Linked DNA regions of Xenopus tropicalis. The protein of the gene in region 1 purifies or fractionates together with the protein of each later gene. This does not show direct contact. Links are inferred from orthologs where the notes say so. Each region holds a gene or a part of one and is shown in the gene's direction. Other genes may lie near its edges.

Region 1 (15,341 bases):
GCACCGGCTGGGGGTTTCAGGTAAGTGATCACAATCACTGGGGGGGCTAATATTTTGGCTCCCCCCACCCAGTGATTGTAACTTTACTTCTCCTTTAACAGAACAGACATTACTAATGCTTATTCCTTTAACCCCTTGTCTCCCAGCAGACTTCTTCCCCAGCCCCATTCCTTTAACCCCTTGTCCCCCAGCCCTGTGCCAAATTGACCAGCAGACTTCTTCCCCAGCCCCATTCCTTTAACCCCTTGTCCCCCAGCCCTGAGCCAAATTGACCAACAAACTTCTTCCCCAGCCCCATTCCTTTAACCCCTTGTCTCCCAGCCCTGAGCCAAATTGACCAGCAGACATCTTCCCCAGCCCCATTCCTTTAACCCCTTGTCTCCCAGCCCTGTGCCAAATTGACCAGCAGACAATCTTCCCCAGCCCCATTCCTTTAACCCCTTGTCTCCCAGCCCTGTGCCAAATTGACCAGCAGACCCCTTCCCCAGCCCCATTCCTTTAACCCCTTGTCTCCCAGCCCTGTGCCAAATTGACCAGCAGACTTTTTCCCCAGCCCCATTCCTTTAACCCCTTGTCCCCCAGCCCTGTGCCAAATTGACCAGCAGACTTCTTCCCCAGCCCCATTCCTTTAACCCCTTGTCCCCCAGCCTTGTGCCAAAATAACCAGCAGGCTTCTTCCCCAGCCCCATTCCTTTAACCCCTTGTCCCCCAGCCCTGAGCCAAATTGACCAGCAGACTTCTTCCCCAGCCCCATTCCTTTAACCCCTTGTCTCCCAGCCCTGTGCCAAATTGACTAGCAGACTTCTTCCCCAGCCCCATTCCTTTAACCCCTTGTCTCCCAGCCCTGTGCCAAATTGACCAGCAGACGTCTTCCCCAGCCTGTGGCCCTGCTACTCTTATATCTTTCTGCCAGAGCAAATCCAGTAATGGTTGTTTTCTCTTTTATCTCTGTATTTACTGAAATTCTCATTCCCCACAGGGCACCAGTGGCCAGTCTGTTACAGAGTATGTGGTGCGTGTACCCAGGTAAGTAAGCAGTCTGTTACTAGTGGATATCTGGGTGCACTTAGCTGTGTTCTCTTCTCCCAGCCTGGTAACATCAATATGTCTGAGAATACATGCTTAACCTGGGATGTCCCTGTACCCAGATAGTATATCCTTCCCATTTACTGTGTGCAGTGTCCTGATATTTCTCCATAGATATTCAATGCATTCTCTCTTCTCTCTGTTGGTCAGGAATCCAAATAAGCGGTACAGTCTCATGGCATTTAATGCTGCGGATAAAGTGGATTTCTCCACGTGGAACCAGGTACAGGATTACCATTTTATAATCCATAAAGGGCAGCATCCTAATCATTGTACAGTGTAATACTCACAAGCCAAAAATACACAGGGCTCTCCCTATGTTGGATGACGTAACTCTAGATAGGATTCACTATATAATTAAGTTTGGGCTGTCTATAGTATGTATGTGCAATTTTGTTTAGAATGTCACATGTGCCATAGTCCCAATTCCCCTGCTGCCAAACTAAAGCAAATGCGTGGCTGTATTGGTCTGTATATCTGTGTGAGTTGTGACGGGTACCTGTATTTCTTCAGGCTCGTATGGAACGTGACCTGAGTGCCAAAAAGATGTATCAGGATGAAGAGATGCCTGAATCTGGGGCTGGCAGCGAGTATAACCGCAAACAGAGGGAGGAGTCCAGGAGGAAAAAATACGGGATCATTTTAAAGGAGTTCAAACTAGAGGATCAGCCTTGGCTTCTGCGAGTGAATGGAAAGGCAGGACGCAAGTAAGTCAGCAATGAACAGCATAGGGCTTTATTCTATTCTTTGTTTCTATCTTCCTACCACTGGGGGCAGCGCTGGCCCAATATCCTTTGTTTCTATCCTCCTACCACTGGGGGCAGCGCTGGCCCAATATCCTTTGTTTCTATCCTCCTACCACTGGGGGCAACACTGATGCAATATCCTTTATTTCACTTGATTCCACTGCCCCTCCAGGTATAAAGGCGTGAAGAAGGGCGGAGTGACGGAAAATGCCTCTTACTACATATTCACACAGTGCGCAGATGGAGCATTTGAAGCATTTCCAGTCTCCAACTGGTACAATTTCACTCCACTTGCCAAGCATCGCACTCTGACGGCCGAGGAGGCGGAGCAGGAGTGGGAAAGGTAACCAGAGGCAGCAAATAAGGCCCCCACCCATATTATATACCCTTATTAGGGCATTTTTGCCTTCATGATAGCAAATGCATAAGATTTTGGGGTGATACAAAGCTTGCCTTAATACTGTACACAAAATGGCGGCTGCCTGCAGACTGTGACTGTGAATTCCAAGAGTGAAGGGAAAAAATTAAATAATTTATATAGTGTAAGGAAAGTTTATTTTGCTCAACTAACATGATAGAAAAGGATTTGGAATAATTTCTTAGAGTGACGGGTCCCCTTTAATGATCCGTCTCCTTGCCAGACGCATAAAATGTGATTGTAAGACCCACGGATTAACTGTCTTTCACCTTCCTGCAGGCGCAACAAAGTCCTCAATCACTTTACCATTATGCAGCAGCGTCGCCTGAAGGACCAGGTGGGAGATGATGATGAAGAGGAAGGTGGGGGAAAACAGGAAAAAGGAGGAAAGGGCAAGAAAAAGAAGAAAAAAAGTGACCTCAAAATCCATGATCTTGAGGATGACCTTGATATGAGCTCCAGTGAAAGCGAGGACAGCGATGAGGAGGGTAAGTTATTGTGGGGTAGGGGTTTGAGATATTAGCAGTTTAGGACTGCCTATACCCAGCTTTTGGCTCCCTAGTATAAGTATAAATGTTGATGGAAAGTAATGAAACAGTAGGGGATGGGTATAAGGCAAAAGATGGCTTCCCTCATGTTCCCTCTGTCTCCAGGCGAGCGTCGCACAAAGCCCCAGAAGAAAGCTCCGGCCAAGGGCAAGAAAAAGAAGAAGCAGAAGTCGGACGACGAGGCTCTAGAGGACAGCGACGATGGGGATTTTGAGGGGCAGGAAGTAGATTACATGTCGGACGAGAGCAGGTAAGGGAAACCTGTAGTGCGGAAGGGGCGGTTCACCTGATGTACTGTTAGTATGTTATAGAATGCCCCATTCTTAGAAACTTTGCAATTGGTCTTCATTATTTTTTATAGTTTTTGAATTATCTGCCTTTCTCTTCTGACAGCTTTTAAATGGGGGGGGGTCACTGACCCCGGCAGCTAAAAACTATTGCTCTGTGTATTAGGCCCTCCTTTAGTCATATTCCCAACTCTTTTTTTCAAACAGCTGCCTGGTTGGCTAAGGTAAATTGCACCATAGCAACCAGATAGCTTTTAGAATACCAAACTGAAGAACTGCTGACCAATTGCAGTTGTCTTACAAATACCAATGGCCACATCATACTGAAAGTGCATTTAAAGGTGAACTATGCCCTGTAAATAGTTCAGTGGATATACGCAAGATTTTACCTTTTTGCAGCCAGCATCCGAATCTTTTAGAAAGGATTTGAGGTTCGGCTGAATCCGATTTGGTGCATCCCTAGCATAAATAATAAAGGAGAAGGAAAGGTAAAAACTCAGTAAGCTTTATCAGAAAGGTCTATGTAAATACAGCCATAAGCACTCACAGAAACGCTGCACTGAGTCCTCTATCAAAAGAAACACAGGATTTCTGGTCTCCTTTTGTGTCACATGTTCTTCCTGCTCTCAAAAAAAAAAAAAATCCTTCAGGGCAGCAAGAGTCTGCTCGGTTTGCTCCTCTCTCCCCTTCCCTACTGGGTTGTAACCTGAGCTACTAGCAGCTAGAGCTGCAGCAGGAAGCTACTGAGACCCAACTAAAATGGCAGCTGCTGTCTTAAACAAACAGAGGGAGCTTCTAGGGCTGTTACTCAGGTATGGTAAAGCTTTCTGCAGAATAAATATAGGGTTCTAGCTTGCACTATTGTTACTAATCTATTGGCAATAAAATGCTAAAAAATGCCTTTTCTTCTCCTTTAAAGGGCCAGAGCCCAAATCATGTGATATATAATATATAGTATGGATCTTACCTTTATTTCCTTTTCTTTTAGCTCTGATGAAGAGCTTCCAGGGAAGATCAAACCCGCCAAAGAGGAGGAAGGCCCTAAAGGTACTATTTGTATGAGTCACTTGCTGATATGCACTCTTCTGTGTAACATGTTATTTCTTACATGAGCCCACGTCATTGGCTACTCCAGGGAGATCATCCTGGTACCACAGCAAGCAATTTTCTGGCATCACAAAATGCCATGTATGGAGTTTGCTAGTGTCATTTCTGCTACAGGGAGGTTTGTAGCGCATCCCAGGCAGAAGTGTGATCATGTGACAGTTTAAGCCCCTCCCTGTTTCTCTGCATCACATTACTATGAGACTAGCCCAGTGAGAGTCGGGGTTCCTGCTTAGGAAGGAATTGGTGCAACGACATCACACGGAGTCACATGTTTTTTGTACTCCCTTAGGATTGGATGAGCAGAGTGAGAGCAGTGAGGAGAGCGAGGAGGAAAAGGCAGAGGAAGAGGAAGAAGAAGAGAAGAAGGCCCCCACCCCACAGGATAATAAGAAAAAGAAGAAAGGTGAGTCTGTCTCGCTGATGTACACCATTAAGGGGCACAATGAGGTTTAAAAATCATTGGTCCCTAATTAACTCTGTTCCCCCATCTGTAATATCATTAAACTCTGACTGATGGCCCCCCCCTTTCTCTTTGTATGAAGTGATTTATTGTGGCCTAGTTACAGTTTCCAGCACAGCATTTTTTCTCTACATATTCATTTTATAAATGTGAGTGGGAGATGCCATATTGCCTCAGCTGGGGTTCCTTACACAGCTCTCGGCAGAACATGTAAAGATGCTGATGCATCCGTTAGCCTGTACCCCAGTACTTCTCTATGTACCCCTTTACCTTCAGCTCTAATACTCTTTCTCATGCTCAGGTAGGGAGGGGGAGGACTTGACCCCCTCTCTTTCCCATGCTCAGGTAGGGAGGGGGAGGACTTGACCCCCTCTCTTTCCCATGCTCAGGTAGGGAGGGGGAGGACTTGATTCCCTCTCTTTCCAATGCTCATGTAAAGGAGGTTTAATGCCACAAGATACACAGAGATCAGTGCAGTAGACCCCCCCCCCCCCCCCCCCGTCTGACCATGGGAACACATGGGAATAACAGCAGCTGAGGGACTGATGTACAAGGGGCTGTTTGGGAATCCCTTACTTGTGATTACAAGCGGGTAGAGGTTCACCCAAAGTAGACTTTCCCTCCGTCCAGCCAGACACACGGCTCCTTTCCCCCATAGTTACTGCACTTTCCCTTCCTTCTCAGATTATGTAAGAGAAGTAATGGCATCAGCTTCCAAATTCCACTTCACCCTGATTGATATTTAATCTAAGGGAGTTCTGTTACAGAAGGTGAAGTTGCCAGACATCTCCCATGCTTCTCCATCCTCCCCGCTCCACCCCGGTCCATAAAATATTCCTCTCTAACATCTGGCGAGTTCTGAACACGCTCTGACCCATTCCATTCTAATGAAACCCTGACGCATCCGTTCACTCGGGGAATGTCTGGTGCAGAGTAGGCCAAATTCATTCTTCACCTGCACTTCTCTCTCCGGGCCCCGCTCTCATCTGGCTGCTCTGCTCCACATTGCATGACGTCTTCTTTCCATTCAAATGGGCCAAGGGTTTCCTTATGTAGAATGTACAAGGAAAACACCATAGGGTTCAGCCATCCATATGCATGGTACAATGCCCCCCCCCCCCCAGTCACCATCTTAGACCCCAATAGGACATTGTCCCCTGTGGCTTCAATCATTTCTTTCCACAGAGACACAATGCTTGTAGTTAAACTTAGGGCTGCGTTGCACTCAGTCTCTCAGCTCCCCATGTCTCTCGGTCTCTCAGCTCCCCATGTCTCTCGGTCTCTCAGCTCCCCATGTCTCTCGGTCTCTCAGCTCCCCAGGTCTCTCGGTCTCTCAGCTCCCCAGGTCTCTCGGTCTCTCAGCTCCCCAGGTCTCTCGGTCTCTCAGCTCCCCAGGTCTCTCGGTCTCTCAGCTCCCCAGGTCTCTCGGTCTCTCAGCTCCCCAGGTCTCTAGGTCTCTCAGCTCCCCAGGTCTCTAGGTCTCTCAGCTCCCCAGGTCTCTCAGCTCCCCAGGTCTCTCGGTCTCTCAGCTCCCCAGGTCCCTCGGTCTCTCAGCTCCCCAGGTCTCTCTGCTCCATGCACCCATCAGCAGCCTTCCCTTATCAGTTGGATGCTGCAGTTGAGACACATGTAGAACATCCCTTCTTATTCTCATTGTTTTTATTTGTTCTGTTTTCAAAGAAGACAGCAGTGATGAGTCTGAGACTTCTGAGGACAGTGATATTGATGGAGCCTCATCATCCCTCTTTATGCAGGTACGGTGGGGCCTCGGCACCGAGCCTAAATACTCTTATATGTCATTCCTCTTCTGTATATCATGCTTTAGTACAGGGGAAAACCTTCTCTTATTTTCATTCATTTCAGAAAAAGAAGACCCCATCCAAGAAGGATAAGAAAGGCGGCTCCAACAGCAGCTCCCGGGGGAACAGCAGGCCCGGAACCCCGTCTCCTGACACAGGGAACACGTCGAGCACCCTGAGAGCTGCAGCAAGTAAACTAGAACAAAGTCAGTGTAGCACATGGCTTTCCTTGTGTTCATATTGTAGGGTGCCCCCCCCTCTGCCTCTGGGCCACTAGGGCCGCCTCCCCTCTGCCTCTGGGCCAGGGCGCCATTTTTTAATTCTGGGGTGGGGCTGATGTTTAGCCATTCTCTCACACACATGCTTTCCTTTCATGCTTTTATTTCTTCCATATTCTTGTGCTCCTTTCCTGACCATCTCATACATTGCCCCCCCCCCCCCACCTCGCAGGCAAACGAGGAGCAGTGTCAAACACTCCTGCGGCGAAACGTCTCAAGATGGAATCCGGGCCGCAAAACACTTCAGGAAAATCCACCCCTCAGCCACAGTCCGGGAAGTCGACCCCCAGCAGCGGGTAAGGCTCAGTACATATAGTGAATAAAGTGCCCCCTATAATATAGGGATATTATAAGTCCCCGAGGAGTTCCTTATAATATATAGTGAATAAAGTGCCCCCTATTGTAACATATAGGGATATTATAAGCCCCCGAGGAGTTCCTTATAATATATAGTGAATAAAGTACCCCCTATTGTAACATATAGGGATATTATAAGCCCCCGAGGAGTTCCTTATAATATATAGTGAATAAAGTACCCCCTATTGTAACATATAGGGATATTATAAGCCCCCGAGGAGTTCCTTATAATATATAGTGAATAAAGTACCCCCTATTGTAACATATAGGGATATTATAGGATCATGGAACTCCGAAGTGACTTCTAATATCCTCATATTTTACAACAGGGGATGCTTTATTTATTATAATATACATGTTTTAGTGAGTCATGTGACTAAGCTCTGATGACATCACTAAGCACCGTTTATAAGGATATCATTTACAGTTTGGTACCATAGGGAAATGACAAACTGTATAGTATATGTAGGGAATGCAGCTGTATATGTGTGTGTGCCTAATACGGCTTGTGTGTCGCTCGTGCAGGGACATTCAGCTGACCGAGGACGCCGTTCGCCGGTACCTGACCCGCAAACCCATGACAACTAAAGACCTTCTGAAGAAATTCCAAACCAAAAAGACAGGTCTGAGCAGCGAGCAGACAGTCAATGTGCTGGCCCAGATCCTAAAGAGACTGAACCCAGACCGGAAGGTTGTGCACGACAAGATGCACTTCTACCTAAAGGAGTGATCGGTACATCGTGCACTGTGGGCCCATGTATATTTGTATAGATTGTGCACACACCGCCCCCTATGGGCTGCATAGAGAACTGTGCGGCACACTGTGTGCAACTGTCAGTGCGTGAGGGTGGGGGTGACAGATGCTGGCAGTTATGGACATTTGTCACATGACTGTTTTTCTAATGAGTTTAGGACCAAGTGCCACAAGGTGAAAATAAATGTCATTTTTTTTTTTTTTACTATATACTGTGTTTGGACTTTAATATAGATTATGAATACCCTTGGCACTGCCAGCCTTCCTCCTGCTTGTCATTTCATTAAGTGGTACAGTTTGGCACAGCAAAGTGCCATTCTGAGCTGCAGAAGCCTTAAAGGGGTTGTTCACCTTTTTGACTTAACTTTTGGTACGATGTAGTAGAGAGTAATATTCTGGGGTAATTTGCAATTGGTCTTCATTGTTTATTCATTTATTTGTAGTTTTTTCAGTTATTTCATTTTCAGTTCAGGAGCTCTCCAGTCTGGAGTTTCAGCAGCTATTTAGTTGCTAGGGTCCAAGTTACCTTAACAACAAGGGAGTGGTTTAGGCTGAATAGAGAAAATAAGGTATAAAAAGTAACAATAAAACTGTAGCCTCACAGAGCAATAGGGTTTTGGCTGCCGGGGTCAGTGACCCACATTTAAAAACTGCAAAGATTTGGAAGAAGAAGGCAAATAAATAAAGACCAAATTCTAAGCAACTTTTCAATTGGTCTTCATTTTTTAAATAATTTGCAACTTTGAAATGGGGGTCACTGACCCCGGAAGCCAAACAGCAATTGCTCTGTGAGGCTCCAGCTTTATTGTTGTTGTTACTCTCTCATTCAGACTAGTGCCTGGTCCCAATTTGGACCCTAGCAACCAGATAACTGCTCAGATTCCAAACTGGAGAGCTGCTGAACAAAACGTGAAATAATTACTAAACCACAAATAAAAATGCATTCTCCATTTATGTAACAGAGCTCTGTATTGGTCAGGCAGACACAGTGGTGTGGCTGTAGGAAAAGCCTACCCGGGGATTATCTTCCCATTAAATATCCCCCCCAGCCCCTCTCATCCTGGCATTTATTCCTGCTGCCCACCTCCCATATCCTGTACCATATACACCAGGGGGGTGGGGGTACATATGCCCCTCTGTTTGTACCCAATCTCCCTCTCTGCCCTCGCTTCTCTATAGTCCCTGAGTCTGTGTCTGACCCAGGTGCATCTCTGGCTTCCAGCTTCTCTAATTCCTTTGTCTCCGCCACGCTCTGATTTATGGTTTCTCCAGGAATTACAAACGTTCTCTCCACATTTCTGTGATGCTTTTTCTCGTCAGAATTACAGGAAACACCCCGGTCAGTGTCTACTGCCAAGGCTTTGCTTTAGCAAATATCTTCTGTTTCAATTACCCCGGGGCTCAGTATCTCCGCTTATTGTATGGTGGCCCTATAGCCCTCGTCTGTAGCTTCCCACTCACTGACAGACCCCTTTGTCACCTATTGTCTTTCCACAGTTCTCTCTTATCCATGTCACCCTACTATACAATAGGCCATTATGTACTGAACCTATGACACCCTACTGTCCATAAGGCCTGTCTTGTCTGTGTCACCCTAAAGCTGGCCATACATGTTAAGATCCACTCGCTTTGCAAGGTCGCTAAGGGAGCGGATCTTCTCCCGATATCCCCACCTATGGGTGGGCAAATGTAGGCTAAAATGTTTGGGGCCAAACGATCAAATTCTAACGGCAATGGCACAGTCGGTTCTGGGACCGCATCAACGAGCCAATGCGGTCCCCGATCAGACTAAATCTTTAAACCTGCCCAATCGATATCTGCCCAATTTCAGGCCAGATATTGGTCGGGTATGGCCGTTGTTTCTGCCGATACACAGGCCGATAAGCTGCCGAATCTGTCCAAGGGGCCGATATCGGCAGCTACAATAGGCCTCTATATGGCCACCTTAAGATGGTATAATCTTGACTTTCATCATACATTCCAATATATCCTTACTGTGCCACCCTACAATCCAACAGGTCATTCTTATCCATGTCCTCCTACACTTCTATAGGTCCTAATTTACAGTAGGGGGTACATTATCCCTTATAATACATGAGTGATACTCAGAGTTCCCTGTATAACTCAGCCTGCAGCCTTGTGCCTTTATATGGGGGGCACAGAACCCCTCAGTGACTGCTAATATCCTTATCATTTACAGTAGGGGGTACATTATCCCTTATAATACATGAGTGATACTCAGAGTTCCCTGTATAACTCAGCCTGCAGCCTTGTGCCTTTATATGGGCACAGAACCCCTCAGTGACTGCTAATATCCTTATCATTTACAGTAGGGGGTACATTATCCCTTATAATACATGAGTGATACTCCGAGTTCCCTGTATAACTCAGCCTGCAGCCTTGTGCCTTTATATGGGCACAGAACCCCTCAGTGACTGCTAATATCCTTATCATTTACAGTAGGGGGCATTATCCCTTATAATACATGAGTGATACTCAGAGTTCCCTGTATAACTCAGCCTGCAGCCTTGTGCCTTTATATGGGCACAGAACCCCTCAGTGACTGCTAATATCCTTATCATTTACAGTAGGGGGTAAATTATCCCTTATAATACATGAGTGATACTCAGAGTTCCCTGTATAACTCAGCCTGCAGCCTTGTGCCTTTATATGGGCACAGAACCCCTCAGTGACTGCTAATATCCTTATCATTTACAGTAGGGGGTACATTATCCCTTATAATACATGAGTGATACTCAGAGTTCCCTGTATAACTCAGCCTGCAGCCTTGTGCCTTTATATGGGCACAGAACCCCTCAGTGACTGCTAATATCCTTATCATTTACAGTAGGGGGTAAATTATCCCTTATAATACATGAGTGATACTCCGAGTTCCCTGTATAACTCAGCCTGCAGCCTTGTGCCTTTGTGTTACTGCGGTAACAGACACTAATGGAGGCCGGAGGCAATATGAAGGAGGCCACATACCCCAGGCTTATCTCCTACGTCCCTCTCTTGCCCTTCCATTGCTCCCTGTGTTTCCCTCAGACACAGATGCGCCGGGGATGCTGTTCGCTGATTTACGGGAATTCCTCTCACATTCCAAACGTGGCTGGCGAGTTTTCAGCAGGTTTCACCGGTTAGTCTGGAATGCGCTGGTTGAGACGGATGCTACCTCCACTTCTCCAGATGCTGCTAAAAATAAGGTTTGTATGGGGAAGGAGGGAGGGAAAGCAGGATAATGGCCGATGAATAAGGGACACAGACCAATGTTATATAACACATGTCCCCAATATATATACTGGGGGGACACAACATATCTCTCCAGAGCTGCCCAGCCTCTATTACCTGCCATGGTGCGGTCCCCCAGTGGCCTGGCCTAATGCGGCTACTCCGTTCTGTTCCAGTCCTGCCTCCACTCCTTGTATTTTCTGCCCGGGCCGGAGGACCTGTCTCCCTAGGCTCTGGCTATTGTCAGCGATCCTGCAATCAGTCTGCTCTGGGGGGCTCTCTAGATTCTGATCTAGGTGGTCCTTCATCTCTTGTTCCAGATGGTCCTCTAACTAGGGTTGCCACCCAGCCGGTATTTGGCCGGCCTAGCTGGCACACTGGCCATACATCTGCTGGCAAATTTGTAAGGGTGGAGACCTTACCCATAATCCCTTGGCTCTCCCCAGCAGATCCCTTTTATATAGGGGCCAGCCTCTGTCCTGATTATTTCCCCACCCCATCTGTACACTACCCCGCCCCATTCAACTATTCCCCTGCCTGGCCTGATCATTAAGGGCCCCGTTTACGGAGACTGAATATCAATATCACCGCTGACACTGCCCACAGCAATTAAACAGATCTTTGCTTGTATTTCTAACTTGTAGATGACAGTTCAAATCTAATTTCTGATTGGTTGCTATGGGAAACATCACCAGTTATAATCTTAGTAAAAACACCCCTAAGTGCTTTTGCTGAGACCACGCCTCCTGAGTTCCTGTTGTGAAAGTCACTTCCTGCTCTGCCCTTCTTCCCCATATTCCGACACCATGGTTTTTAACCCCTGGTATGTTATTTGGATTTTGACCCTGTGTTTGCCTGCGGCTGCTTATACTTCCCCTCTGGGTCCTTGTTTTTTTACTTTATTTGATCTTTTGTTAAACACAGCGGTTGCCAAGCAAATTACAACTGGTTACTCAGCACATTGGCTCCTATTGGCTAATTCAGTGGGCAATTCAGCCCTTTTTTGGAGTATTAAGTGGTGGTAAAACTGGATTATGAGGAGGAGCTAAAGGCACAATCATTAGAACAAGGCACAGGTACAGCTGGGAGTCACCTGACGGCAGACAGGATTAGGAGGAGGAGCTAAAGGCACAATCATTAGTACAAGCCACAGGTACAGCTGGGAGTCACCTGACGGCAGACAGGATTAGGAGGAGGAGCTAAAGGCCCAATCATTAGTACAAGGCACAGGTACAGCTGGGAGTCACCTGACGGCAGACAGGATTAGGAGGAGGAGCTAAAGGCCCAATCATTAGTACAAGGCACAGGTACAACTGAGTGTCACCTGACGGCAGACTGACAGGATTAGGAGGAGGAGCTAAAGGCCCAATCATTAGTACAAGGCACAGCGGTTGCCAAGCCAATTACAACTGGTTACTCAGCACATTGGCTCCTATTGGCTAATTCAGTGGGCAATTCAGCCCTTTTTTGGAGTATTAAGTGGTGGTAAAACTGGATTATGAGGAGGAGCTAAAGGCACAATCATTAGAACAAGGCACAGGTACAGCTGGGAGTCACCTGACGGCAGACAGGATTAGGAGGAGGAGCTAAAGGCACAATCATTAGTACAAGCCACAGGTACAGCTGGGAGTCACCTGACGGCAGACAGGATTAGGAGGAGGAGCTAAAGGCCCAATCATTAGTACAAGGCACAGGTACAGCTGGGAGTCACCTGACGGCAGACAGGATTAGGAGGAGGAGCTAAAGGCCCAATCATTAGTACAAGGCACAGGTACAACTGAGTGTCACCTGACGGCAGACTGACAGGATTAGGAGGAGGAGCTAAAGGCCCAATCATTAGTACAAGGCACAGCGGTTGCCAAGCCAATTACAACTGGTTACTCAGCACATTGGCTCCTATTGGCTAATTCAGCGGGCAATTCAGCCCTTTTTTGGAGTATAAGTGGTGGTAAAACTGATGTAAAATACAGCAGCTAGTGAGGCAGTTTACTGCTAATAGATTAGTCACAATAGCACAAGCAAAAACTCTATATCCTGTAAAATGATTTACCATACCTGAGTAAACCTGAGAAGGAAGTCTGACACAGAAGCTCATGTGTACAGAATAGAAGACAGGGAATTCTGTTTCTTTTCACAGAGGACTCAGAGCAGCAGTACAGTGAGTGCTTATGGCTATTAAATACAGACCTTTCTGATAAAGCTTACTTAGTTTAAACCTTTCCTTCTCTGTTAATAAATGAGGCAATAAAAGCATTGTGAGTGAATAAATTGTATAAATCTTTATCTAAAGGAAAAGTAAAGCTTCCCTGGGAAATTTGTACTTTAAGTAACAGTTCACATCCCCCTCCCCTACATGTCACTTACACTTGTCCCAACTTATCTGTGTCCCCATAGCATGGCCTGAGTTACAGCGCTGCTCAGTAGTGTTGGCCACCACCTTTAGCAGTGTCACTTCTGTCCCCAACATCTATGTCGCTTCTCAGCAAGCCAGGCCTGCAGACTACTGGCCAAACTGTGACATTTGGCTACTGCACATGTTCCTAGTTGAAATCCATGATGGGAATGGAAGTCACATGGCCAAGGATGGTGATGTAGCTGTGCAGTTCTGTACGTGCAATGGGCCACAGCTAAATTAGTCCAGGAGCACCGGATGTGGTTGGGGAGGGGCAGAATTTGTGCACCGACAATAAAATTGGATTTTTTTCCAGGTGTTTTCACATACTATGATACATTCCTCAACTGAAAGAGGAGAAATTAATTGAAATGTTAGTTGATAAAGTGTGTGTTCTCCCAGATTGGCCTTCAAAAGAGGCAGGGAACCTCTTCTCTAATAGGCCCAATCATTAGTACAAGGCACAGGTACAGCTGAGAGTCACCTGATGGCAGACTGACAGGATTAGGAGGAGGAGCTAAAGGCCCAATCATTAGTACAAGGCACAGGTACAACTGAGAGTCACCTGACGGCAGGCTGACAGGATTAGGAGGAGGAGCTAAAGGCCCAATCATTAGTACAAGGCACAGGTACAACTGAGAGTCACCTGACAGCAGACTGACAGGATTAGGAGGAGGAGCTAAAGGCATAATCATAAGTACAAGGCACAGGTACAACTGAGAGTCACCTGACGGCAGACTGACAGGATTAGGAGGAGGAGCTAAAGGCACAATCATAAGTACAACGCACAGGTACAACTGAGAGTCACCTGACGGCAGACTGACAGGATTAGGAGGAGGAGCTAAAGGCACAATCATAAGTACAAGGCACAGGTACAACTGAGAGTCACCTGACAGCAGACTGACAGGATTAGGAGGAGGAGCTAAAGGCACAATCATTAGTACAAGGCACAGGTACAACTGAGAGTCACCTGACAGCAGACTGACAGGATTAGGAGGAGGAGCTAAAGGCACAATCATAAGTACAAGGCACAGGTACAGATGAGAGTCACCTGATGGCAGACTGACAGGATTAGGAGGAGGAGCTAAAGGCACAATCATAAGTACAACGCACAGGTACAACTGAGAGTCACCTGACGGCAGACTGACAGGATTAGGAGGAGGAGCTAAAGGCCCAATCATTAGTACAAGGCACAGGTACAACTGAGAGTCACCTGACAGCAGACTGACAGGATTAGGAGGAGGAGCTAAAGGCATAATCATAAGTACAAGGCACAGGTACAGATGAGAGTCACCTGATGGCAGACTGACAGGATTAGGAGGAGGAGCTAAAGGCACAATCATAAGTACAACGCACAGGTACAACTGAGAGTCACCTGACGGCAGACTGACAGGATTAGGAGGAGGAGCTAAAGGCACAATCATAAGTACAAGGCACAGGTACAACTGAGAGTCACCTGACAGCAGACTGACAGGATTAGGAGGAGGAGCTAAAGGCACAATCATTAGTACAAGGCACAGGTACAACTGAGAGTCACCTGACAGCAGACTGACAGGATTAGGAGGAGGAGCTAAAGGCACAATCATAAGTACAAGGCACAGGTACAGATGGGAGTCACCTGACGGCAGACTGACAGGATTAGGAGGAGGCGCTAAAGGCACAATCATAAGTACAAGGCACAGGTACAGATGGGCATCACCTGACGGATTAGATAGAAATAAAGACAAATTCACAAAAAAAAAGTGTGTTTAAAATGTAAAAAAAGACAAAATCACTTTCTTTTCTCCATGTTCAGTTGGTGCATACATACAATTTACACAGATAAAATGGTGCTTCTTACATATCAGTCACTCCTAAGTGACTTTACTTGATATTCAA
Region 2 (15,882 bases), on another chromosome or scaffold:
ATTTTTGTGGTAGGACTAAAGGTGACCATACACGTGCCGATAAAATGATACAAAACCTAGTTTTGTAAGGTTTTCGGACTGTATGGGCACTGATTTATTATCCCAATAATTTTAGTACCATGGCGTTTGGTCATTTAGTTAATTAGCCAGGTTAGAAAATTTTGCATGGCTTACAAAAAAATCAGAGCATGTATTGTGTATCCTTCGGGACCTACAGTGCAAGTCATTTTCATACGATTGCTGTCTGCCAACTATTTAATGTTCAGAACATCTTCCGATTTGTATTTTAAGGGACGTATCTTACAATTTCAGTCTGAATTTTAGTTTCAGATCATTGCATTTAAATATACAACCGATATCCTAACGTTCGTCAGAACATGTATGGCCACCTTCACAGGGAACTTCAGAGTTAAAGATACCAGGAATAGCACTCATAGGGATGCATTCAAAATGGCAGGACGAAGAAGCAGTGTAAAATATAGGAAACCTTTAAATCTGAGGACAGATTCAGGGTTTGACTGTATCATGCAATATATTTGTTAGATTTTGTTCAATTGCTGGCTGAAAAGCACATTTTGAATATTTTGTGCTCTTTTACTTTAGGGATGTCTTCTGGAACCAACTTTTCGTTTAGTTTGATGTCTCTCAATTGCATGTTACACACTGCTTCAACCTTCACTCTTACTCATACAGGACAGGTAACGTTCTTTTTGGGATGAGGTGGTGCAAGGATACCAGACCCCACTGTCACTCACTCACTCTATATAATTTATTTAGTTGTCAGGGCAACTATTTCAATGTCTAAAATGTATTTTTGAGAGCCAGGAATCACAATCTGTCACTGCAAATAATGTACTTTGGCACAGAGCCAGCACTAGGGTTAGTCAGGAGAAGCACACTATCTGAGGGGACACATTTTGTTAAAAAATATGCCCCTTGCTATAACATCCACTAGAAAAAAAGATAACTGTGTTTTGGCAGATGATCTGATCAACTATTCTGGCAGTCATTTAGGGCAAATAAAACATTCAAAAAGTAAATAAAATGTGTATGTAACTTGCTTAGGGGATCAAAATGCAGATCAGTAGGGTGAGTGCAGGTATAGGAGGGCCCCATGTTGGAGGGCCACTGAAGGAGTCACAAAGAATATAGGGCTACAAAGGGAATGCAGAATCATGCCCCCTGGCATCATATACATGGTACCTTGCATTTCTATTTTAAGTGCCATTATTTTTGTAGCAGGAAATACCAAGCTTCTGTTGCTAAGCAACTGTCATCTGAACACTGATTATACTATTCACTAATAAAAATGCATCACCAGGGTTTCAGAATTTTTAAACCTTATTTTTAGAAAATAAAAATAACAGAGTTAATTTTAATTCCAGTGGGGAAAGAAAATAAGATTATATTTGGGATGCAGAGAATTGCAGAAGTATTAAATTAACCAACATTAGCAAAAGCAATGTAGGTACACTAGACTTGTGAACATGTGGTTCTCTATAACATTTTTGGAAAAAAGAAATGTGGAGATGTAATAATATTTTTTTCTCCGCATTTGCTAAATGATTTGGGAGCTTAAAAAATTGTATGCATTTTTATATTTGCTGATTAATTTCACTTATCTCAGGTTTAAACGTGGAACAAATCCATATCCAAGATGGCCAAAATTATGTGTCAAAACTATGAGCCTACTGTTTCCATCTCAAAACAGTCATTTGTGTAAGGTGGAAGGAATTCATCACGTCTAGTAAGGTTGATGTAATGTTACTTTGGCACCTCCGCCCTGTTTTTGTGCAGCTAAAGCTACTCTGGGTATCATATTATAGATTTGCAATGCAATGCAATGCAGGCTGGTATTATTCAGTTTCTCAGCACTTTCTGGAGTCTTGACAGGTTAGGACTTCTAGGGCCTCCAGTAGTACTTAGCACACCACCAACAGTTATCCTTGTACCCACAGCATCACTCCTCTCATATTCAAACAGTCGCTGCCTAATAACCCACCACCAGTACCACTATGGTAGGGAGCCTGAATAGAGATGTTGTGTTACTCACAGAATTGTTCCAGCTTACAATAAGTATTGAGAAACTTGCATAAGAACTGAGCCTGAAGCTTACAGTTGTAAAACAGAAAAGACAGTTTAAACAGTAGGGCTTAACATGCACAAGACCTTGTAGTATGAAGCTTACAGATTGTAGCTGTAGAAAAAAGGCTTACAGTAGGAACAGATGTAGTTATCATCGGAAAGATACTAGGGGTCATGTATTATATGCAGGGCAGGGAGCAAAAAACGGGTGCAATTAGCCATATTTTTACACGTTGCTCAGTGAAGTGCAATCTCTAGCTCGCCAAGAGTCAAAACACTTGCAATTGCCTCATTGTTGTCCTGAATAATAACCTGGCCCTAACAATAATCTAACATTGTGGCAGTGAGCTCTTCTGCTCAAAAAATATCTGAATTGTGGGGGTCACACTGATAGCTTGATCCTGCAGGAAATTGCCTAGGCAGCAAAAACATTGTAATTGCCACATGTAGTATTCTTACTAGGGATGGCTATTTGTTCTTTATTTAAAGGCCACCACCCAGGGGATTGTTTTTATAATGCACCAGTGCAATTACTTATACCATCTAAGAATGTATTCTCTCACAGCACAAGGTGTAAAACCAGGACAGGATGTAAAAGTGCAAAAAACATGGTGGTTTGTTACTACTCTTTGCACCCTGCCTGGCACTTTATAAATTATCCCTCTGGTCTGTGCAGGCTCCAATGCAGTTTTTAGTTGTTTCTTGAATCAGATTGAGCTGTCAGTCAATCCAGCTGGAATCTACTATTTCCACAAAGATTATAACCAGACATCCTCTTGTTGGGCCAAAGTTGGAAATAGGTGTAGGCAATGGTGGGGGGTTGCCAGACACGTACCTCTTCTGCCTTCCTACCCAGAGTTCTGACCCTTCTACAGTTCCTCACCTGTCAGGCCACTCCTCCCCCAACCTGCACTGCTCATCGCAGAGGTGGGGAGGGGTAACAAGCAGCGCATCCTGCCTTGGGCACAAGCATCCCAAGGCCCAGCACTGTGTTGGCCATTATGTTTACAAACTAAACAAATTTTCACCACTGTATTGCTAGTACAAAATTGTAATACTTCAATGCAATGATCAGAACAACTGACCTATAGAAGTGCTGGTGTACTACAGAAGTGCTGATGCACCAGAGTTTTACTCATCAAAATGCTTGGCACTAAGGATTATACATATAGGGACCCATTTATCAAAGTCTGAATTTGGGACATTTAAAAGTACAATTGAAAAAAATCGGATTAAATCCGATAATTTCTGATGCGCGTTAAAAGTGCGAAGATTTTGCATTGTGGTCGTACGAAAATATTATGGTACGATCTGAAAGTTCAGATTTTCGTATCTGAATGAATCAGAAACGCAAAAAACTCTCTGACTTTGGACCTTTGGCGCATGTTTTTGGAAGCCTCCCATAGGACTCAATGGTACTCTTGAATGGATATCGAAACTTTCATACTCATTGTGACAATACAATTGTGTCGCATAAATTGTCGCAAAGCACAAAAAAGTTGTGGAAATTAATAAAAAAATTGCAGAAAATACGCACAGTTCTAAAGGTTAGAAAAAATACTATTTTTTCCATTCTGACTCAATCGTACTTTAATGAACAGGCCCCCATAGTGTATGTGAATTTGGTGAACATTCATGCGAGACATGGTAATGTCATGTTTTTTTATCACACCCCATTCTAGGACTGCTACATAAACTCAAATCTACTAAAATTAGTAGGATGTGGATAGGTCCCAGCTCTCTGTTTTAAAAGCTGTGCATTGTAAATTGGATAGGAAATGCTGAGCCCTTTATGCAAAACAGAACCATGTAGGGTACTATACTGTTTCTAATGTATCTAGAAAGCCAAAAAGCATGAACCTCTGATTAACTGGTAGTGATAAAATGTTCAAATTTGGCCCCCAATTAACTTTTACAGTAGTCACCTCTAAACATAGGCGCTACTTGTCAGGTAGGCATTGCCTTGAAGATGATTGCACCCTTGTGCAATGTTTATGTTGGTGATAACCACAAAAGCAAATGGAGGCAATATCATGCTGGACATTACAAGTCAAAATTGCAACTATAAATTGATAATGTTATAGCAGATGTATAATTCTTTGTTCCTTCATTTCTGTTTGCACCATAAAAAAAAGAAAAACGACACATATAGGCCAATATTCTACAGACCATTCTGCCGAAATTTCAAATTACTGGATGATTTTGAAATCCCATGTAAATGTCATATTGCAAAAACTCTCGAGACCATCTATCTCAATGTAAAATGTATTTGTGGTCCTAGATATTCTTGGAAGTATGGTAAATAGACTGATATGCTGATATTTCATAAGCCAAGGGGAATTTGACCAGAGGCTGGACCTGCAAGGGGGGGTGGTCATGGCCTAATGTTGAACATTCAGTGGTTGTTAATTATATCCAAACAATAAATCTGCATGTGTCCAAATTTATACTATCATTTCCTAGATCATGAAGGTGTGAAGTCTGAGTAAAGTGAAATTGCCATATGGAACAAAAATCTACCATAAACTTCTTCTGACAAGTTATGGACAATCGTGCAATAATATCTAGCTAGTTCATTTTTTGATGTTCTAAAAAAATCTTTTTACCCAAGAGCATGTATTTTAGCATTTGATATATTTTTCACTTGAAGTTAAACTTTATTATTTATTTAAGAAGCACAGAATAATTTGGTCTAAAGTCTAGAGAAACTTATTATTTAATTATTCCATTATTTAAATGCTGAAAAGTTCAATTTTCCATCTCAAAAGAACAACATGCCAATGTTGGCACTGGCAGCTACTTTGTTTAACAGAATGAATCCCAGTCTCCCAAGGTGCAAAGGTGTAGCTTGCACATGAAAGGTAGTTATTGAGATGCATAAAACAAGGCACAGCCATTGTCCACCCTTCTCCCTTTCTCACTCCATTATCTAAGTGTTGTTTACATTTTGCACTTCTTTTCTCACACAAACACGCCCTTCTTCCACAGTCAAATTCTTTTTTACATATTCATATTAAGTGTGTGGTTTAACCATTTATTATATAATTCTTTATACAAAATTCCAGAATTTATTGAGATATGGCACTGTTATTTCATATGAATTAGAGCACCAACCAGTAATATAAACCCACAAAAATGTGCAGCCCACCTAAACCAAAGACTGCATTAAAACAGGGTTTTAAACATTGGTGGTGACATCTAATTGCAAGCATAGTTATGTCATCAGATCATTCAAATAGCCCCCCAAAACAGGAAACTATGGACTTTGAAACAGACTCTTTGGATGTCGAAATCTCTGAATATTAGTTTCAGATCACTGCATTTAAACGTACAACTGATATCTGAACGTTCATCAGAAGAAGACTAAAATCTGAATGTGTATGACCACCTTAAATAGTGACTATGTAAATAGTGAATTTGTGAAATTACAGTCAGATACTAAATTCAACTTTTGCAAGGCGTTTTGTACATTCTCACAGGTCTACATGGGTTTCCTTCCACACCCCAGAAATACACATACAGTTAAATGGTTTCTGATGAAACCGACTCTGGTGTGTGTTGTGTGAATGCCATGTGAGAGAGTTTGTAAGCTTCGCTAGGGATGGGAATGATGTGAATGTGGCCAGCCTCTCTAAAGTGTCATGTAAATGTGTTTAAAGGATATCAAGCAAATAAAATCAGAAGTGGCAGCCATAAATAGATACAAAAAACTTTTCTTTGCTTCATCTCTTGGGTGGTCAGTACAGCAAAAATAAAATCAGTAAATATTTTTTTATACAGCATAATATATCTTGGGGTTTATATGATCTTCTTTTAAAACACACACATATATACACAACTGAAAATTAAGAGCTGTTGCAGTTATTTGCAGCATATTAAAGGACATGATAGCTGGTCAAAATGAAAACTTTCAAAGCCACAGAGTCTTGTTAATTTTCATTTCAGTTGTGTATTTTGTTGCAAGGGAATCCACTCCAGGATAATATAACTTAAAAACTTTTATGAACTATTTTAATACCACTGTTCCTTTAAACTGTAGTGGCATAAAGTTAACTACTGCTAACATAACTGCTTAGGGCTACATGTTCTCTTGCATAGCAATGAGCGGTAAATAGGCACAGATGGGCTTACCACACTCATGCTGTCTCCAGCATTATTAACAATGCGCAATTCATCCTCTTCTTCCTAAAACAGAATACACCACAGGAAAGGTAAAGCTCTAAGTGCAACATTATAAAAGAAAACATTTATTTACCACTTTATCTAGATGCACAATACAACTGGAAACATGGAATGCTAGGAGACTTAATTGCCTCAAAATTATCTCTGATTTTAATGAAAAGTAAAGGTGGCCATACACGTTAATAACTGCTCGCTTGACGAGGTCACCAAGCGAGCGGATCTTCTCCTGATATCCCCACCTATGGGTGGGCCATATCGGGTTAATTAGGTAGATGGCCCTGGGGCCAAACGATCAAAGTATAATGGAGGGTATATACGCCGTCAGTTTGGGGACAACAAGCTGATGCGGTTCCCAATCTGACGGAAAAGTCAAACCTGCCCGATTGAGATTAGGAAGATTTCAGGCCAGATGTCGGTTGGGCAGGCCCATCGTTTGCGTCTATACACGGGCAGATAAGCTGCTGGAATGGGTCTAAAGGACCGATATCGGTAGCTAGAATCAGCCACCTTAAAGGACAAGGCAACGCAAGATATAATTTTTAGCCTAATAAAAGAAACCAAAACTCTAAGCAGCTTAGAGTTTGTAATGGTTTTTGAGTTATTTTGTTTATAATTGCTATTAGAAACAGTGTTTGTCTGTCCTTTTCTGTTCACTGCCCTGATGGCTCTGACTGTTGAAACATTGTAACACAAGCAGACTGTAACAGACTAACAGACCTGCCTTGCTGGAGAAGCAAGACCTTTGCAACATTGTTTAAAATGTAACAAGCAGGAGTTCAGCAAATGCTGCTTTCAATAGCAATTACATTTACAAATAACGGTTAAACTTTTAATTATTTCATATTGGAAAGTTGCTTTTTTTTTTTTTTTACCCCTTCTGTATCCTAATTAGCATATGCTAATTAGGATTTGGTTCGGTTTTTTGCTGAATCCCTTACTATGGATTTGGGGGTTTGGTGCATCCCTATAAATGACACTGTATATAAGTTGTTAAGCAAGCAGCTGACAGTCAAATAAATATGTTTGTGAATGCCATCTACCAATCCACTATATTGCCCAGTGCATTTTGCAATGACTGATTAGGAACCCAAGTTCCACTTCACTTCTTGCTGTTTCTAATATGGCCACCACATATCTAGGGCTCATCTAGGGCTCCTAAATGGCCGTTATTTGCCTAGCTTGGCCTGTAAAAACTTGCGTGATCCCAATCAAGCTTTGTTAATAGAGGACAAAAAGATATTAATTTATGAAGACTTGTATTTTTACAGAAAATGTGGCGATCCTACACATTCGGAATCCAATCATTACTGATATACCAAAGAATATTAATTGGCTAGTGGTGTATGGCAACCAGGCCTGCAATGGCCTGAACTAGTCTAACATTACAGATGTTACCTTTACCAGTGAGGCCAATGTTGCCTTATGCCAATGTTATTAATAGGGAAAACACATGCAAACAGGAAGTCCAGCATTTTTTCCAGAAAAGGTGACAACCCTATCAAACTGAAACACCTATGGTGTTTGTATAAATGAATTATAGGTTTGGTAAAGCCATATAACAGCTTTAAAAAACAGGAAATGTCCCTGAAAATGTGCCATCTTCCTAACAAAAACATGCTTTAGTAACAGGTACAACCACTGTACAGACAGGCACATTTGCGGTTTTGTTAATTTACAAAACCATGCCCCCAACCAACCCCAAGCCACACTGTTTCTCACATGAAATATGGCACTGATCCAATACACAGTATATCTACGAGAGCCGCGAAAAACCGTTCGGCAATGTAGAAGGGAGGCACAAACGTAGGGTAAAATAGAATTTCGATAAAGTGGAACGGAGCGCTATCGTAGATATATATTGGCTGGCTGTGAGACAACATTTTGTCCTATTGGATGGATTTATTGCTTACAACGGGTGTGGGAGCGAGTGTTTATTCAACTAAATGAACAGGGGCAGAGGCAAAATACAGATAATTATTGACAACAGAAGCAGCCGTTTTGTATTACGTTACGTATATTTGGAGCCCACAAGCCTCCTTCTTTATTAACGCGTAGCAGCATGTGAATACGAGAGAGAACTCATACTCTCGCATCACAAGGCAGAGATCACAAGGCGCATTGTTTGGCCATTTAGCCGCTACAAGAGTTAACGCTGCTGGGCGTGGCTCCTTGGAACCGGACTCTTCCCACTTCCATGTGGGCGGAGCGAGTAGAACCTTGGAGAGCCCGACTTCCCTCGAACCTCATTCTCTTCTCTTTCCTCCCCCACTGAGGGCAGTGCGCTCCGTCCTTGCTGGTGCCGCCATTTTGGAAGGAGTAAGAGCGCAACAAACACGCTCGCAAACCCTCTCCTGGTTCAGTCCACTAGCACGCACAGCTGACCGGCACAATGAGTTCCCCGATAAACGTGAAGAAGCTCAAGGTATCCGAGCTAAAGGAAGAGCTGAAGAAGAGGAACCTTAGCGATAAAGGGCTGAAGGCCGATCTGATGGAGAGACTGCAAGCTGCGCTGGACGAGGAGGGAAGCGCTTCTGGAGGAGGGGGAGTGGCGGTCCCTGATGAGGCCGAGGATTTGGGCGATCCCGAACAAGGTGCAACCGGAGAAGACGAAGAGGAGGAAGAAGAAGAAGGAATGGAGCTAGGAGGAGAAAACGGAGGCGATGGGGCCGATGAGGAGGCGCCCGACGAGGAGGTACCCGGCGAGGAGGTACCTGAAGCAGAGCAAGGAGATGAGAACGGAGACGATCAGGGTTTCCAGGAGGGAGATGAGGAGGAGGAGGAAGAAGAGGAAGAAGATGAAGGCATTCCGGTTGGACTGGAGGAAGAAGATGATGCGGAAGCGGCTATCGGAGAGAACGGGCAAGATCAAGAGAAGGAGGAAAGCGAGAGTGCGCCCAGCGGCCCACAACCACTAATGGCCATAAAGTGCGAAGAGACGGGCGGCCCCGGGAGGAGCGGTGAGTTTATGGAGGGTACGACACTTTTATTTTTCGATATTATAGTGCAGCGCGGTTTTATTACATCCGCTATGTTACCACAACGCCTCGTAAAATTAGTGACCCCTTGAGTATTTTGTATGTGGGAGGTGGTAGGCCACGGCCTTGTTGACTTGTATAAAATGCTAGCGCTCTTGTTCCCGCCGTGTAAATGGTTATTGCCGAGTACCGCTGACAAAGGGGGTTGGCGCTAGGGGTGCGCGTACTGCGCGCCCATCTTGTCACGTCTCCTCCTGGAATGATTGTGGCGGCGGCGGGCTGAGCGCGTCACTGCTCGGGGAGGGGCTTCCCTGCCCCCATGTTAGGGAGTGCGGCTCTGCTAACGCACCTGCTGCTCCTGCTTGTGTGGGCGGCGCAGCCATTATTGTCTCTTAGGGATCCGCTTGAGTGCCTTTTGTGGTTTTCTCTTTTGTTGTACTCTGTAAGGCCTAGTGGGCTCTCCGGGTTAGTTTATCGCTGTTTAACGCTGATCTGTGTGGCGTTATCTCCATCATGTTAGTCTCCATTGAATTAATACAGGGTGCTTACACAACTCTGCCATTTTGTGCAAGTGAAATGTGTTTTTTTTTAAATGAGTTCTCCACCCAATTTCAAAAAAGTAATTGCATTAAACATTTTCCACAAAGGTATTTGTAAAAGTATTTACTGTTGCCATTAGTATCTGTGTGGCTGTTAATACTATGCACATCTGGTTCTGACTTCAGCAACAATGTATCAGAAACCACCTGATCAAGATTGCAAGAATAAATACCGCTTTTCAGTAGCAATTTATATTTTCACACAATAAAATTAATGTGTTTTCCAAAGGCGCTTAGGATTGCATGTTTATGGCCCCAGTAGCTTAGTCACACAGATTGGGAAAAAGTTTGTAAGTTCCAAGGATCCTGCATGTCCATTGTTTCTAAATCTGTCAGCCTGTATTGCAGTACTGCCACTAGCCCCCCCCCCCCCCCCCCCCCCCCCCAAACTTTTAATAAACCTACTCCCTTGATATTACTAGGTTGTAAATGCATCCTTGTGGGTTGATTGGAGGTGTGTGGCATATAAATCTGGTACTATATTTGCAAAGAAGCATCAAGCAGTACAGCATTAGAATAGCCTTGTAAGTAAGTCGTTGGGCTGAAAGGTACTGAGGAGAAACAGGAAGTAGTATCCCAAAATAGAACAGTGGAAAGCACAAAGGGAATGTTGGGTCGCCTTGCATGCCCCCCAAGCTCGTTTCCCTAGCTGCACAGACACTCCAATTGTAGGGCTGCTGAAAAATGAGCCTTATATCTGACTTCAACATTCATGAACTCATTCATAGAGGAATGCATTTATTTATCTGTTTGCTGGAATACAGATTCCCCCAGAGGCTGGCTTACACTCCAGTGACCTCTTGTATGTGATCTTAGAAACCTGAAAAGCAGACAGGAACTTTGTTGTAGTAGTCCTTTGCTATTTGCCTTCTGGCCACATAAAAAGCCACTACAGAATTCCACCAAGTAGAACATTTTGTTAGGCTAAACATTTGTGCATGTGCTCTTACTTTCAATTTCATATTAGTTCGACATACACATACTGTGTAGAACATTGTGTGCACTGAGACTAAAACAGTTTTTTGTCTGTCTTGACTTGTTGGGTATAGATTTTCCTCCTGCTGAGCAAAAAAAAAAACTGGAAAAGAGGGTGGAAATACAAATACAAGAGTAGTATGTAATTGAATTAACAATAGATCATCATTTTGTCTGAAACCAAAGAGATGCTTGAGTTAATGGCACACATGGCAGCTTCCAGCAATAATTGATAGACTGAACCAAGCGACTGTTGGCCTGTCATACTGAAAGTGATTGGGGTAATTTTGAGTGTTTTGGGGTGATAAGTCAAGCAGGCATTCAGCCATACTTAGGACATTAAAGTATAGATATGTATTTTACAGCTCTGCAGGTTATGCAGACTATTACAGGAGTAGGCTGTGTTAACTGGAATGCTTGGGAACTGGGGTTTTACGTATAAAGGATTATTTGGATCTCCATACCTTGTCTGCAAAAATGAATTATAAAATTAAATAAATGCAATAGGATTGTTTTGCCACCAACATGGATTCACGTAGCTTAGTTACCATCAAGTACAAGGTGCATTTTTATTATTACAGAGTAAGGAAATTTTATTTAACAATTATATTTGCTTAAAATTAACACCATAGAAGATGGCCTTCACATAATTTGGAGAATTCTGGAAAACTGTTCCTGATAAAGGATGCCATACCTGCACATTAATGATAAAAACAATCTCATTTTGTGCTTGTGGAGATAAATACTGTACTTGCTACTTGTGAAGTTAGTCTGTGAGAATTACATTGGATTTAATTTCTTGATCATGTAAGAATAGCTGCAAGTGTTTCATTGTAAGTGTATGGATGTGGTTTATAGCTTCACATTCTTATTTCTAGATGGAAAAGATCCAAAAGAGAAGAAAAGGGGTGTGAAAAGGCCACGTGAGGACCATGGTCGTGGCTATTTTGAATATATTGAAGAAAATAAATATAGCAGGTAGGTACAGTTTTGTCCAGTGCCATTCTACTTTGCATTTTTACATGGCTTTAACTATATTCTTATTTCAGGGCAAAGTCTCCTCAACCACCAGTTGATGAAGAAGATGAGAAGTTGGATGATACCATGGTACTTCTTGATACTTGTAAGTCTTTCAGATTAAGTTATTTGGGAAAACCGTGTTCATTAATGTACCCAGGATAATGTATTATCTGCTTTTCTGTTGTCAGTTTTAAAAAAACCCAAAAGAATTTTCAATTTGGTTGTGCCGGCCACCCAGTCATCCCAGGGCTCTGTTTAGACCAGGGGTGGCCAATACATTGATCGCGGTCCACCAGTCGATCCTCCGTGGATTTCTGATGGACCGCGATGAAGTTGGGATGAGGAAGTGCTGTGTGAATGCGTACGTATGCTGCATCACATACGCATTCACGCTGCATTTCCGCATTCCCCGGTGGACCAGCGTAGATGTTTGGACCAGCGTAGATGTTTGGACCAGCGTAGATGTTTGGACCAGCGTAGATGTTTGGACCAGCGTAGATGTTTGGACCAGCGTAGATGTTTGGACCAGCGTAGATGTTTGGACCAGCGTAGATGTTTGGACCAGCGTAGATGTTTGGACCAGCGTAGATGTTTGGACCAGCGTAGATGTTTGGACCAGCGTAGATGTTTGGACCAGCGTAGATGTTTGGACCAGCGTAGATGTTTGGACCAGCGTAGATGTTTGGACCAGCGTAGATGTTTGGACCAGCGTAGATGTTTGGACCAGCGTAGATGTTTGGACCAGCGTAGATGTTTGGACCAGCGTAGATGTTTGGACCAGCGTAGATGTTTGGACCAGCGTAGATGTTTGGACCAGCGTAGATGTTTGGACCAGCGTAGATGTTTGGACCAGCGTAGATGTTTGGACCAGCGTAGATGTTTGGACCAGCGTAGATGTTTGGACCAGCGTAGATGTTTGGACCAGCGTAGATGTTTGGACCAGCGTAGATGTTTGGACCAGCGTAGATGTTTGGACCAGCGTAGATGTTTGGACCAGCGTAGATGTTTGGACCAGCGTAGATGTGATCATTTGGCCAGTACATGTCTGTCTGAAGACTTTATAACCCTTTCTTTTGATAATGTATAGAGACTTTTTAACCATGCCGTATTGTATGTAGGTGCTGTGTATAGCTTCTCAGCTAAGATGTTGTCTATCCATAATCATATTTTATAGATAACTGTGATCTTCACTTCAAAATTTCTCGTGATCGCTTAAGTGCATCATCACTTACCATGGAGAGCTTTGCACTTCTCTGGGCTGGAGGGAGAGCCACTTACGGTGTATTAAAGGGGAAAGTTTGTTTCGAGATGAAGGTAAGTGCACTTACAAATGCAAAAGCTGTCTCGAACCGACAACTGTTAAATTTTACTTTTTAACCAATCAAACTTATTTTCTACCCCCTAGGTAACTGAAAAGATTCCAGTTAAACATGTATATACAAAAGAAACAGATGTTCATGAAGTTCGTGTTGGCTGGTCATTGAGCTCCTGTGGATACATGCTCGGTATGTAGATAGTAAAGGGAGAATATATCCCTATTAATAAAGTTTGCTAGGCTATAGGTATCCTTCATGCCAGCAGACCTTATCTGTCTTTCTAGCTAGAATTTTGAAGTAGGCCATCCAGCCTCTTTGGCATTGAATAATGCAATATTTCTAAGTTGGTTTTCCATTCCTCTTGAGGTTGTGTTTACAATTTTTGACTTTTTGCAGAACTTCACATAAAGATTAAATATAACCTGTTAATGATCCATTTAATATGCCTTTTAAATTAGGTCTGTCAGTCTTGAAACACATTTAACAGTCACTGCTCAGAAATGTTATGAGGGATTTGCATAAAAATAAATCCTAAAAATGCCTTCTCATTATATAGCCAGCATGTCCATGAAGTTATGTTATCCAAGACAACTGGGGTTTTCATAATTTTGAATTAGCATACTTTAAACTGCTAAATATTTAAAAAATTAAATCTGCTATAATTGTTTGGTTGCAAATATAGATTCATACAGCTTAGTTATGATCAAGAACAAGTTGCTGGTTTTGAAAGTGGAATTAGTAAAAAAAAAACAAAACAACTTTATGGGATATGGCCTTCCTTTAATTTGTATCTTTCTGAATAACTGGTTTCATGGCAAAAGTTACCATATCTGTATTATAATTTGGAAAACAAATACATTAACAGCCTAATACAATTTTATTTTTGCTTTACTAGGGGAGGAGGAAAATTCCTATGGTTATTCTCTCAAAGCAGCAAAATGTTGCAATGGTGTTGCTGAGGATTATGGAGAGAAATATGATGAGAATGATGTGATCACTTGCTGTGCTGTGAGTAATTCATGTTTAATTCCCATTAAAACATCTTGTGTGCTACAGTTGGAGTTCTTTTAAATTTGGCAAAGTATAATGAAATATCTTGCTTTTGATTGGGTTAGCATTTAAAAGTGGGGACACTAATTTTGATCTTCACTGGTTTTTTTCTGTTGCAGAATTTTGAAGAAGATGAAATAGAACTTTCTTATGCAAAAAATGGCCAAGACCTTGGAGTTGCTTTTAAGATTAACAAAGATACCATATTGGAGCAGGCTCTCTTCCCACACATTCTCTGCCACAACTGTGCCGTAGAATTCAACTTTGGGCAAATGGCAGAACCATTTTTTTCTATCCCTGAAGGCTATACATTAATTCAGAACGTTCCTTTAGAGGACAGAGTCAGAGCACCTCTGGGGCCAGAACAAAAGCAGGATTGTGAAGTAAGTATATTTGAAAGTAAACTGAAGAGAACAGTTTTTTTTTCTTCTCCCTCTTTTTGCATCTTTCAATTCATGTTGTCTGGTTTTGGGTGTAAACTATAGGTGGGAGAACTGGAAAGACATTTAGCCAGTGCTTATTGTTGCAGATACTCTAAGATCACTGCTCTGTAGTGCTCCTCAAAGCAAATTAGGCAGAAGGGTGTCCAAGCACTTCTGCCTTGTGCTAGTGCTGAGTTCATCTGGCCTTGGCATGTTTGCATGTTCTCTGTTTCTGTGTGGGATTTCTTCCACACTCATACAGGCAGGTTAATTGCTCATGATTAACACTGATCATGTTGGTGCTATTTAAATACTGGATAATAAAATCTTTACTAGGTTGAAGATAAGTGATACACACGCTTGCCAAGGACAGTTACTGTTAAACTTCATTGGAACTCTTGTTGGTTAATTTATCTTGTGTTTTTATGTGTGGTATAGTGATATGGTTATTCGTGTCATAATGCTTAATATGTGCTCTTTTTTTTAGAATTAAGAATACAAATACATTTATTACATTCAGAGCAAATATGTTTTTTTTTTTTTTAAAGGTTATAATGATGATTGGCTTGCCAGGTGCTGGAAAAACAACATGGGTAACTAATCATACTGAACAAAACCCTGGCAAATACAACATACTTGGAACGAACACTATTATGGAAAAGATGACGGTAAGAATCCTAATATATAATTTTGGTATGTTAACCTTTTTTTTTTTTTTTTTTTCTTGACATTTTTACTTTAAAACCCTTTTCTTTGTAGGTTGGCTGCAAAAAGCAAATGTCTGACACTGGAAAGTTAAATGCTTTGCTGCAGAGGGCCCCACAGTGCCTAAGCAAATTTATTGAGATTGCTGCTCGCAAAAAAAGGCATTTTATCTTGGATCAGGTAAGTTTTTTTTTTATATATATATATATATATATATTATTTATATTGCCATTTTTATACAGGGCCTTAGAGAGACATACCTTGACCGGCAGTGTTTTCTGCTTTCAGGCAATTGTTAAACTTTGTTTAGAAACCTGCTGTCTTCTATATTTTGTTAAATAAAAAATATAATTAATTTTAGTCATGTATGCTTTTAAATATAAATAAATTGTATATTTACCGTTGGCTAGTAAAAATTTCAGAAAACTTACCATAGTCTATAGAAGTAAAATACAAGTTAACCTTTTCTCAGAAGAACCTCAGTAATTGAGGTTGGTAATTAGAAATGTTATTAACTAATGTAGCATATTGTAACAATTTAAAAAAAATCTGA

The links.
Region 2: the proteins of gtf2f1 (region 1) and hnrnpu purify together in Homo sapiens (affinity purification with western blotting; 3 studies listed by BioGRID, with this or other methods). This does not show direct contact. The link is inferred for Xenopus tropicalis from reciprocal best matches to the Homo sapiens genes GTF2F1 and HNRNPU.

Annotation. Positions count from the first base shown.
Region 1 is NC_030679.2:140,877,516-140,892,856, forward strand, and holds the end of gtf2f1 (general transcription factor IIF subunit 1), read left to right. Parts: intron 1-979; coding exon 980-1,026; intron 1,027-1,236; coding exon 1,237-1,309; intron 1,310-1,599; coding exon 1,600-1,793; intron 1,794-2,004; coding exon 2,005-2,175; intron 2,176-2,529; coding exon 2,530-2,738; intron 2,739-2,903; coding exon 2,904-3,048; intron 3,049-4,073; coding exon 4,074-4,132; intron 4,133-4,481; coding exon 4,482-4,595; intron 4,596-6,332; coding exon 6,333-6,406; intron 6,407-6,515; coding exon 6,516-6,657; intron 6,658-6,901; coding exon 6,902-7,025; intron 7,026-7,611; coding exon 7,612-7,816; 3' UTR 7,817-8,048; downstream 8,049-15,341. UniProt on the Homo sapiens protein: TFIIF is a general transcription initiation factor that binds to RNA polymerase II and helps to recruit it to the initiation complex in collaboration with TFIIB. It promotes transcription elongation.
Region 2 is NC_030681.2:44,499,222-44,515,103, reverse strand, and holds the start of hnrnpu (heterogeneous nuclear ribonucleoprotein U), read left to right. Parts: upstream 1-8,627; 5' UTR 8,628-8,656; coding exon 8,657-9,239; intron 9,240-11,694; coding exon 11,695-11,794; intron 11,795-11,865; coding exon 11,866-11,939; intron 11,940-13,010; coding exon 13,011-13,150; intron 13,151-13,241; coding exon 13,242-13,341; intron 13,342-14,047; coding exon 14,048-14,160; intron 14,161-14,321; coding exon 14,322-14,585; intron 14,586-15,172; coding exon 15,173-15,292; intron 15,293-15,383; coding exon 15,384-15,509; intron 15,510-15,882. UniProt on the Homo sapiens protein: DNA- and RNA-binding protein involved in several cellular processes such as nuclear chromatin organization, telomere-length regulation, transcription, mRNA alternative splicing and stability, Xist-mediated transcriptional silencing and mitotic cell progression.